Linked DNA regions of Ovis aries. Each later gene encodes a partner of the first gene's protein in a complex. Links are inferred from orthologs where the notes say so. Each region holds a gene or a part of one and is shown in the gene's direction. Other genes may lie near its edges. The genes, in order: ARF1, AP1B1 and IQSEC2.

Evidence for each region.
Region 2: the proteins of ARF1 (region 1) and AP1B1 are in contact, whole or in part, in a cryo-EM structure (PDB 7R4H), measured with the Homo sapiens proteins. The link is inferred for Ovis aries from reciprocal best matches to the Homo sapiens genes ARF1 and AP1B1. Residues at the interface, in NP_001019397.1 of Homo sapiens: Glu17, Met18, Tyr35, Ile46, Thr48, Ile49, Gly50, Phe51, Asn52, Val53, Glu54, Thr64, Trp66, Lys73, Leu77, Arg79, His80, Tyr81, Gln83, Asn84; in NP_001118.3 of Homo sapiens: Asn23, Asp25, Pro52, Asp53, Val55, Asn56, Met58, Gln59, Met83, Ile85, Met86, Ala87, Val88, Asn89, Thr90, Val92, Lys93, Tyr121.
Region 3: the proteins of ARF1 (region 1) and IQSEC2 are in contact, whole or in part, in a crystal structure (PDB 6FAE), measured with the Homo sapiens proteins. The link is inferred for Ovis aries from reciprocal best matches to the Homo sapiens genes ARF1 and IQSEC2. Residues at the interface, in NP_001019397.1 of Homo sapiens: Arg19, Gly24, Leu25, Asp26, Ala27, Lys30, Thr31, Ile46, Pro47, Thr48, Ile49, Gly50, Phe51, Asn52, Val53, Glu54, Thr55, Thr64, Trp66, Asp67, Val68, Gly69, Gly70, Gln71, Lys73, Ile74, Pro76, Leu77, Trp78, His80; in NP_001104595.1 of Homo sapiens: Arg810, Gln811, Gln841, Arg845, Val846, Gln847, Gly848, Glu849, Ala850, Gln851, Val853, Glu854, Glu858, Asp879, Phe882, Ile883, Phe886, Ala887, Ile889, Leu890, Asn892, Thr893, Asp894, Tyr896, Ser897, Pro898, Ser899, Val900, Arg904, Met906.

What each region holds. Positions count from the first base shown.
Region 1 is NC_056058.1:2,770,617-2,773,528, reverse strand, and holds ARF1 (ADP-ribosylation factor 1), read left to right. Parts: upstream 1-1,498; coding exon 1,499-1,646; intron 1,647-1,720; coding exon 1,721-1,831; intron 1,832-1,920; coding exon 1,921-2,045; intron 2,046-2,197; coding exon 2,198-2,359; downstream 2,360-2,912. UniProt on the Homo sapiens protein: Small GTPase involved in protein trafficking between different compartments. Modulates vesicle budding and uncoating within the Golgi complex. In its GTP-bound form, triggers the recruitment of coatomer proteins to the Golgi membrane.
Region 2 is NC_056070.1:68,660,146-68,663,892, reverse strand, and holds the start of AP1B1 (AP-1 complex subunit beta-1), read left to right. Parts: upstream 1-1,202; 5' UTR 1,203-1,349; exon of another isoform or gene 1,350-1,412; intron 1,413-3,367; 5' UTR 3,368-3,417; intron 3,418-3,747. UniProt on the Homo sapiens protein: Subunit of clathrin-associated adaptor protein complex 1 that plays a role in protein sorting in the late-Golgi/trans-Golgi network (TGN) and/or endosomes.
Region 3 is NC_056080.1:51,139,287-51,142,933, reverse strand, and holds part of IQSEC2 (IQ motif and SEC7 domain-containing protein 2), read left to right. Parts: coding exon 1-238; intron 239-2,628; coding exon 2,629-3,524; intron 3,525-3,647. UniProt on the Homo sapiens protein: Is a guanine nucleotide exchange factor for the ARF GTP-binding proteins.

The sequences.
Region 1 (2,912 bases):
AGAAAGGGGCTTACGATGGAGACCTGGCAGCTCCACGTGAGCCTGTCATCAGAGTTGACGTGGGGTGGTGGGGGTCTGGGGCACAACCCCTACGTAGAATGGAGGGGGGAGTGCCTGTGGCAGGCCCGTATCTGCGTCCTCCGTGGAACTGGCCTCTTACCCAAGCAGTATCCATCCAAAGTTCAAACACTGGGAAGCTCATAGTTACTTCTGGGAGGTTAGGTATGCAGGGCAAGACTCCTTCCCAACCTCAACAATAGCCTCCACCAGCACCCTCCCAGTGATGAGGTGTGAGCATCTCCCATCAGCTTAGAACAAGCTCTCTGTGGTTGATTTGGTTTTCTGTCAACACTCGCACAGAATCTGCCCAGTTGAAGGCTGCTCAGCCCTCCACAGCTTGACTTCACCTTAGGTGCTAAGTCCAGATTTCCTAAGCATTTGAGAAAGTGACTGTTTTTTTCCTAAAGCCCTGTTTGGAAATAAAATAGTTGAAGGATGAATATACTGAGTGTGGAGAGGCCATATGTGGGTCTTCCAGTACAAGAGATCCCCACCTCTGTGATCACTCACCCCTTCCTGCAGGTCTGGGTGTCGGGGCCTGGGCTCGGACCTGGGGTCCAGTCAGCTCAGTGGCTGCTCCCAGTCTGCTCTGCTGAGTGAGGCGAGCTGGCGGGGGGTGGGGGGCGGTGCAGACACAGCGCTCGTGCGCGTCTGCACACTCGTGCGCTTCTGCACACTCGTGGCTGCACCGCGCAGGCCACCTCTCCGACCAGCGCTGACCACAGGTCTTGGCAAGGTGCTCCCTAACGTGGCCATGCTGTGGGCTCACCCTTGGGCTGAATACTCTTGGACTGAGCAGCAGGTGTGCTGCTCTTGAGCCCTGGGTGTTCTCACTCAGCCAGTCCTGCCTGCAGGGTGTGCTGAGCTCTCAGCATGTTGGGAAGGGCTGGCTCCTGGTCTTGGCCAGGGCCCTCCTAGGTTCTCAGGTGTTAGTTGTCTTACCATTGAACTCTGCTTCATCGAGACTTGGGGCAGTTGGGAGACATGGTAGGGCCTTGAAGTGGTTGTTTCTGGCCCCTTGAAGAACTGTGCATTAGGTTATGGAGAGCCTAGCGTCCATTTGAAAGCCACACTACTGCACCCCAGAGTGGCGGGTTGGAGGACTTAGAGGTAAGGTGCCCTCAGGCCTTGGCTATAAGTTCCTCAGATGATGGAGCAGCCGCTTCACATTCCAGTCAGCCTTGTTCTAAGAGTCCCATATGCTGCCTTGTTAGGCTGATTTAGAGGCTCAAGAGGTAGGTGGGCAGGACCGTTTTCTTTTGGATAGGAACCAGAATTTCATCAGCTTGTGAGAGGAGCAGCTGCCTCAGCCTGGCTCTGGGTGAGCGGTCTCTGAGCTGCTCCTGCTTGCCTGGCCCTGGGCAGCACAGAAAAAGACCCCAGGACTCCTTGTTCCTGCAGGTTTCTCTGGCCAGTGTTGCCCCCACCGGTGTGCAGCATGGGGAATATCTTTGCAAACCTCTTCAAGGGCCTTTTTGGCAAAAAAGAAATGCGCATTCTCATGGTGGGCCTAGATGCTGCGGGAAAGACCACCATCCTGTACAAACTGAAGCTGGGTGAAATTGTGACCACCATTCCCACTATTGGTGAGGACGCTGGGCCTTGGGAGGCTGGGAGGTGGTGGTGGCCCTGGGGATAGGCTCACCCGGCTCTCTTCCAGGCTTCAACGTGGAGACCGTGGAGTACAAGAACATTAGCTTCACTGTGTGGGACGTGGGCGGCCAGGACAAGATCCGGCCTCTGTGGCGCCACTACTTTCAAAACACACAAGGTATGAGTGAGCTGCCCCGTTACACGCCTCAGGAGTGGGGCTCGGGGTGTCCCGGGTGCCTGCAGTCACGCTTACTGTCCCCTCTGCAGGCCTCATCTTTGTGGTTGACAGCAATGACAGAGAGCGTGTGAATGAGGCCCGCGAGGAGCTCATGAGGATGTTGGCAGAAGACGAGCTCAGGGACGCCGTTCTGCTCGTGTTTGCTAACAAACAGGTACGTGTGACTGAACACCCTGTGTGCCAGTGGGGGTGCACGTCAGGCAGCCAGCCTCTCAGGGCTGGAGGTCTGACTGGGGGGCCACAGGTCAGGTAGAAAGGGTTCCATGCACTCCCCCTGACCCACGCCTGCTGTGCTGCCACCCCCAGGACCTCCCTAATGCCATGAACGCGGCCGAGATCACGGACAAGCTGGGCCTACACTCTCTGCGCCACAGGAACTGGTACATACAGGCTACCTGCGCCACCAGCGGGGACGGGCTTTACGAGGGACTGGACTGGCTGTCCAATCAGCTCCGGAACCAGAAATGAGCTGTCATCCTCTCTCCTCCCCTCTCACTCCCTCCTTCTACCCTCGCTTTACTCTCATGTGGCAAACGTGCCCCTGTGGTGTGAGTGCCAGAAGCTGTCTCCATGGTCGGTCACAGTGTGCTTCACCATGCTGTAAATGTGCAGACGCAGCCTGCAACTGGGTTTTTATTTAATGTAAATAGTTTTTGTTTCCAATGAGGCAGTTTCTGGTACTCCTATGCAATATTACTCAGCTTTTTTTATTGTAAAAAGAAAATCAACCCACTGTTTAGTACTCAGAAGGGATTTTAGGCACACGGGTCATCCAGGAGTTGTGTGTCAGACGAGCCCAATACTCCTCCTCTGGGCTTTAGGTCTGTGTTGAGATCCATTTTGGTGGTTGGTTTTTAACCCAAACTCAGTGCATTTTTTAAAATAGTTACAAATACAAAATAAGGAGAACACTTGAACACACAGAAGGGAGAAATGTGCCTAATGTAGGTTCTGCGGTGACGGCCTGAGTCCAGTCCACCGGTGGTCTGTTTCCCGCTGGGAACATGAAGCGGGGCAGAAC
Region 2 (3,747 bases), on another chromosome or scaffold:
TATTATATATTTATATATTATATATTATATTTCTAATATATTATTTATATATTATATATAATATAGTATAATTTATAATACATAATATATATTGTACATAATGTAGAATAAATAAATGTATTATGTATTATAATTATATATAATATATAAGTAAATATATTTATATATACATAAATATATAAAATGTATAATATAATATTATACATTTTATAATATTAAAAGACTAGTGATAAAGTGCACAACTGTAGGGGACTGTTTCGGAGAACAGTGGTGCCGTTCATACTGCGCAATTCCATGCAGATATTGTAAAACACCAAGTAGAAATGTATTTATTGTTTTGGGAAACAATAATTCACCAATTCACCAATATCTTGGTGAATTAAAAATACTGAATGGATATATCGAGTCTGGAAGGATATTCACCAAAATCTTAAAAATTATTGTCTCAGGGTGGCAGGATTGCAGGATTTTTTACATAGCCTTTTGCTTACTCGTATATTTCCATAATGCAAATATTATTTTAGATGTTTTTAAGAAGATGATCAGAAATTATCTAGGAGGAGGAGAAAGTTAATAATACCAGAGCTGGGAGTGAGATACCTATAGCAACCCTGGCCTGGCCGACCCAGCAAAACGGGAAATGGAACTTTTAAGTTCTCCTTGGAGGTGTGAGGTTTACGCGGAATTCCCCGAAGGGCTGCTTCAAGCGGTAGGTTAGACTTACAGCTCTAGTTTAACTCTTCTCTTCACAGGTAAGTGATCTTGAGCAACACTGGCGCCTCTCAGAGACTGAGTTTTCCTGTTTGTAACACAGAAGCGAAGCTGACCTCAAAACAAAGAAAAATAGACCTCAAAGTCTCTATGATCTTCTCCATCTCCGTCATGTTATATAGGCTCAGTTCAGCTCAGTTCAGTCGCTCAGTCGTGTTCGACTCTTTGCGACCCCATGGACTGCAGCACGCCAGGCCTCCCTGTCCATCACCAACTCCCGGAGTTTACTCAAACTCATGTCCATTGAGTCGGTGATGCTATCCAACCATCTTGTGGTATTTTTTGCTTGGCGGAGCAGCAACGTGTCGAGGGCGGAGTTAACTCCGACGCCCCGCCCCCTGGCCCCGCCTCGCTGCCACCGCCCCCGCCCGGGTTGTACCCTTGACCCCGCCCCCAGCCTGTGCGTCCACCGGAAGTGCCCGCGCGCGGGCAGCTCACTTCCGCCTGGCAGGTGACAGCCGCGGGGCTCCGAGCGTCCGGCGGCGCGGGCGCACCGGGAGAGCGGGAGGACAAGGCCGCGGACATTTTCCTGTCGCGTCGAGCCGCGCCGTGGCGTCAGGAGCCTTTCGGACCTGCGGGTGAGGAAGCGGGGAGCCTGGCGAGGCCAGAGAAGAAGTGGGGCGGGGAGTCGGGAGTCTGAGGTGAGGGATTTCTGGGGTCAAAGGTCACGGAGAGTACAGGGCGCTGGAGGGTCTAGAGTGGCTTCCCAGGACGGGAGGAGGCAGAAGGGCTGCGGGTTCATTCATTCGCGCCCCCTTGGCCGCCGGCGTGCACCCCAGCCGTCCCAGGTCCGCAGTCCCTGCCGGGGCGCCCTCCCGTAGAGACTCCTAGACTTAGGCCCAGGGGAGCTTGTGCCTGGCCTGACAGGAAACTTCTCTTCGGGTCTTGGTTCCCCCTGCACACTCAGCGCCGTGGCTGTCCTGAGGCCTCCTTGTCGTTAAGGGCCTTATCTCTTTGCCAAGGTTCAAAAACAGAAAAAAAAATATGAAACGGCCTGGCGCCACCGCCTCTAGGGTGGGGTTAAACAGAGGATTGGTCTGTCCCTAGGCGCCTCACAGACGAGGTAACTGGGGACCCCTGTAATAACGCCAGAACTACTGATGGGAATGCTAGCTGCTGGTTATTGAGCTGTGTGCAGGCACCGTGCTTAGAATGCCGCATTTAAACTTCCCAGCAATCTTGGTGAGGTAGCTACTATTATTATCCCCATTTTATCCACGAAGAAACTGAGGCACAGAAAAGTTAAATCACACCTGTAAGGTCAATCGAGTAGTATGGATGAATGCCAGGGTTCCTACCTGGGCTCGCAGGGACCTGCAGCGTGCTGAGACTGAAGCAAGGTTGGCATTTAGGGGCTGTTTAATATCTTTAGCCGCCATTAAATTTATTTGCATCTATATAAAGATATATTTCCCTGGAGAAGGAAATGGCAACCCACTCCAGTATTCTTGCCTGGAGAATCCCATGGACAGCGGAGCCTGGTGGGCTGCAGTCCATGGGGTCGCAGAGTTGGACATGACTGAGCGACTGAACAATAGCATTTAGAGATGTAGCTTGCTTTCTTCTCATCTACCTTCCTAAGGAGCATTTGATTCCCTTTCTTTAGGATGAAATTAGGCCATTGCTATAACTGATTTCTGTTCAGGGTGAGAAGGGGCCTTTTTCCCAACTGTTGAGAACTGCGAGACATAAAACAGTCTAGCCATGCAATGAATTTAAGAATATGCTGCACCTCTCTTGAGAGTGGTCAAGCTGCATTCTTTTTCAAGTAAGGGGAGGAACCACATGACCCCTAGGGTATCTTTTGGCCCTAGGTTCTTGAAGAGCATTCCCAAGGCAAGGACCTGAGTCTCTGAGAAAAGTGCAGGTCCCATGCCTTCTTGACTGGAGAACACACATCTTGCCTGGGAGACAGTGAGGTGGTTTCATGGCCAGAGGATTAGGTCTTGTGAGTCTGAGCTTTACTCGGTTGCAGACATTCACGTGCTGCAGTTCGGCTTCAGTTTCCCTGATAGCAGCACAGACCTGCTGACTTCCTACACACTCCGGGGTTTTACAAGCCTTAGTGAACCTGTGAGGATTTCCACGCACTTATAAAGAAAGCTGAGGTATAAATATTACTGTGCAGTACCTGTTTTTAAACTCCACTGTCTGTTTTCCTAGTTCCATTGAATTCACAGAAACTTAATATTGTCACCTGATCCCCATCCTTCCAAGGGAGGATTTGAGATAAAGTGACTCGTCACAGATGGTAGGAACAGGAGCAGCGCTCAGAGTGTCTGGCTCCCTGTCCTGAGTTGAGCCCACCAGGCTCCTTCAACCCCTCAGGGCAGCTTCATGAAGAGTGGCTTCACTAGTGTTCAAAGACTCAGGTCCCTCAGACTTTGTATAAAGTTTAACTGTTGAGTGTAGTTTGAGTAGAGGCTTCACCTGAGTGACTTGGAGAGCTCAGTGGTGTGGTGGAAAGAGCCTTCCTTGTCCCCCCATCTGTCAGCCGTGGATTCTCCCCCCAGATCAGCAGCTTCTTGGTAGCGTGACCCAGAGCCACCTATCCCTCAGCTCTACAATAATACCACCACCTTCACCTCCCCCTCAGCAGTGACTCGTGTGGAAGCTGGACAAGGACTTTGTGCAGAGTCTGTTGTGGTGAGTGCCTTGACCCTAGGCAGTTGATGTTTCCTGGGGGCTGGTTTTGGGGGTGTTACTTCTCTCTGCAGAGTCCTTTGTGTACACAGGACCTCTCCCATCCTTCTTGTTTCACTTCCTTAAAGTGTTTCAGAACAAGTTCAATCTGTTGATCCTGCTAGCTCTGGGCTTGGACTTTCATCTTTCTCTAGTTATCCTTGAAGCTGTTGCATGACTTGCTTGCTTACTTCCCGAAAACCCCCATTCTTGGCACCAAAGTGTGATGTGCTAATGGTGAGCCAGCATGGCTTGGTTATGAGTTTTGAGCTCCAATGTGTTTCCAGAAATCAA
Region 3 (3,647 bases), on another chromosome or scaffold:
GCGAATGCAGTTCTCCTTTGAGGAGTATGAGAAGGCACAGAACCCCGCGTACTTCGAGGGCAAGCCTGCCTCGCTGGACGAGGGTGCCATGGCTGGGGCCCGGAGCCACCGGCTTGAACGGGGGCTCCCATATGGCGGCTCCTGCGGAGGGGGCATCGATGGTGGGGGAAGCTCCGTCACCACATCTGGAGAGTTTTCTAACGACATCACGGAGCTTGAGGACTCCTTCTCCAAACAGGTCAGCATCCCTGAAAAGGGCCTTTCCTCTCCATCTCCATGCTCTGGCTACTACTACAACCTTTTACCTGTACTTCAAGGAAGTTGCCCAACAAGTTGTTGTTTTGAGAACAATAAACAGCTACCATCTGAGTAGGGACCGTGAGGGTGATGAGAAAGGATTGGCAAGAGAAAAATTATATTGTTCAAACAAGCAAGTTCTCAGTCTGGAACATGAGCCACTATCAGATCAAGGCCTAACTAACAGCTCCTACTTTATATCAGGTCCTCTATATGCCTCAAAATGGCCTTCGAGACTGGGGGTGCTATCCTGGTTTTACAGAGGAGGAAATTGAGGCTCCACAACCCTGAGAGGTGAAGTGACTTTTCCAAATTGGATCAGGACTCAGCTCTGTCTGGTTCCAAAGCTTTCCCTTACACCACACGATCATGGACCAGGCTCTGTGCTGGGCACTGTGGGGGAGACAGGTGAATTGGCCAGGATTCTTTTTCTCAAGGATCTCCCCAAGCAAGCAGGAAATAGCAGGCACATGTGCACAGGACTGTTTCCTGAAAGAGTGTGCTCAGAGCCGTGAGAAGAGATCCCATATAGTGCTGTGGGAACCCAGAGGAGGGAGAGGAAATTTTCTTCTGGGAGGACGAGAGCAGGCTTCTTTGAGAAAACAGCACTGGAGCTGGGCCTTAGCAGGCAGCGAAGAGTTAGCAAGTTAGAGATAGTCAGAAGGGTGTTTCTTGCATAAGCATTGCATCAGGAAAAGCAGGGAAGGGTGGGAATGTAAGTGGCAGTGATAGTGGTGGGAGATCATTCTAGGCTTGGAGTGTGTCAGCGCAGCTGATCAGGTACAAATCCCAGTTCTGGCATTTCCCAGCTATGTGACCATGGGTAAACTGTTTAACTCCACTGAAACATGATCAATAACATGAAGCTAAAACCATCTTTTTAGAGCTGTTTGGAAGGCTGAGTTCAACTCGATAATATATCTGAAAGCACCTAGTATATGGCATTGCTAAGTACGTGTTAGTTTCCTTCCTAAAACCAAAAAGATATTTGGTAAAAATTGTTGAATGAATAAATGAAAGTGTATAAGAGAAGAAATCATTCTGCTCTAACCTCTGTGATCTGGCCCTGCCCTAAGCTTGGTCATGCTTCCCTGGAGTTGGTGATGGGGTTGGGAGAGGAAGCAGATAGAAGACAGGAAAGAAGTATTAAAGAGAAGATCTAAATCACTCATTTACGCATTCATATGCCACATTTCATTGAACACCTCTTCTGTGTCAAGCTGAGCTAAAAAGAGAGAAACCCAGCCTGGACCCATCCCTCAAGTACTGGCCTCATAGTCTGGTGGGGAGATTCAGGAACCAGGCCTGGGCCCCCCTCTCAGTGCTATTCAAGTCTAATGGGGAAGTATCTATTGCTGCATAGCAAATGATCCCAAAATTTAGTAGCTTAAAACTGAATGTAAAGACTGAGCTTAAACAACAAACAGTTATTATCCCACATAGTTTCTGAGGGCCAGGAGTCTTGGGGTGGCTTGACTGGTGGCTCTCGCATAGGGTCTCTCATGAGGCTGTGATCAAGTTATAGGTTGGGACTGTAGTCTCTAAAGGCTTGACCGGGGTTGATGGGTCTGCTTCCAAGCTCACTCGTTTGGCTCTTGGCAGGAGGATTCAGGGCCTTGCCACATGGGCCTCTCTATAGGACTGCTCACAGTGTGGCTTCCGCCAGAGCGAGGGATCTGAGAGAGGGAGCACAAGCGAGTGAGAGTACTCAGGATAGAAGCTGCAGTCTTTCCTAACCTAATCTCGGAAGTGACATCCCATCACATTTGCCAGATGCTGCCGGTCCAACAGACCGACCCTGGGACACTATGGTACATGAGGGTGTGAATAGCAGGAGGTGGGGATCATTAGGGACCAGTTGGGAGGCTAGATACCAGAGTGAGGCCAGCTTTGGTCCAGATTCTCGAGGCTAAATATCATAGATTTCCTAAGAGAACCAGACAGAGGGCTTCGGGAGCCCAGAGGCAGATGGGATTTTGGTTTACCCTAAGGGAAGGCTGAGGCAGGAATGTGGCTTGGGATTAGTGAGGAGGTGGCATTTGGCTTGGGTCTATATGGACGTGAAGAAGGTATTGGGATGTCTGAGAAGGGAACTTGTGGGCATAAGTTCCAGGTCCTGTGAGCTCACAATGGCTCCCTGGGAGTTATGTCCTGCAGAGAATCTGGGGAGGTAGGGGAGGGGAAGCACTTTTCTGGCTGCCCCACCAGGAAGATCCCCCCGCCCCTTTTTTTCCCCTCCCTCCCTCATTCCCACCCTTTCACCATCCCACTGTCCTTCATCTTTCCCTCCTTTTTCTCCTTTCCCCTCCTCCCCCTTCCCCTCCCCCTCAGGTAAAGTCTCTGGCTGAATCCATTGACGAGGCCTTGAACTGCCACCCATCGGGGCCCATGTCTGAGGAACCAGGGTCAGCCCAGCTGGAGAAGCGAGAGTCAAAGGAACAGCAAGAGGACAGCTCGGCCACATCCTTCAGTGACCTTCCCCTCTACTTGGATGACCCAGTTCCCCCACCATCCCCTGAACGACTGCCTAGCACAGAGCCCCCCGCCCAGGGCAGACCTGAGTTCTGGGCACCAGCCCCTCTCCCTCCAGTTCCTCCACCAGTGCCAGCAGGGTCCCGGGAAGATGGTAGCCGTGAGGAAGGCACTCGCAGGGGTCCTGGGTGCTTGGAATGTCGGGATTTCCGGCTGCGGGCTGCCCACCTGCCCCTGCTTACCATTGAACCTCCCAGTGACAGCTCCGTGGACCTGAGTGACCGCTCAGATCGCGGCTCTGTCCACCGTCAGCTCGTGTATGAGGCTGATGGCTGTAGCCCCCATGGGACCCTGAAGCACAAGGGGCCACCAGGCAGGGCCCCAATCCCACACCGCCACTACCCGGCCCCAGAGGGCCCAGCCCCAGCCCCGCCAGGGCCCCTACCACCAGCCCCCAACAGTGGCACTGGGCCCAGTGGTGTGGCTGGGGGTCGGAGGTTGGGGAAGTGCGAGGCAGCAGGCGAGAACTCTGATGGTGGAGATAACGAGAGCCTTGAGAGCTCCAGCAATTCCAACGAGACCATCAACTGCAGCTCTGGCTCCTCTTCGCGGGACAGCCTGAGGGAGCCTCCAGCCACCGGCCTGTGCAAGCAGACCTACCAGCGGGAGACCAGGCACAGCTGGGACTCGCCAGCCTTCAACAACGATGTGGTGCAGAGGCGGCACTACCGAATTGGCCTCAACCTGTTCAATAAGTACGTGTTCCCATTCCCACCTTGTCGCCCCTACCGACCCTGCTGCAGGCACTTAGACTCCTGGAGGCAGTGATCCTGCTGCCGCCATTTTGTGGATGGCATTTCTCTCTAGCTGTTCAGGGA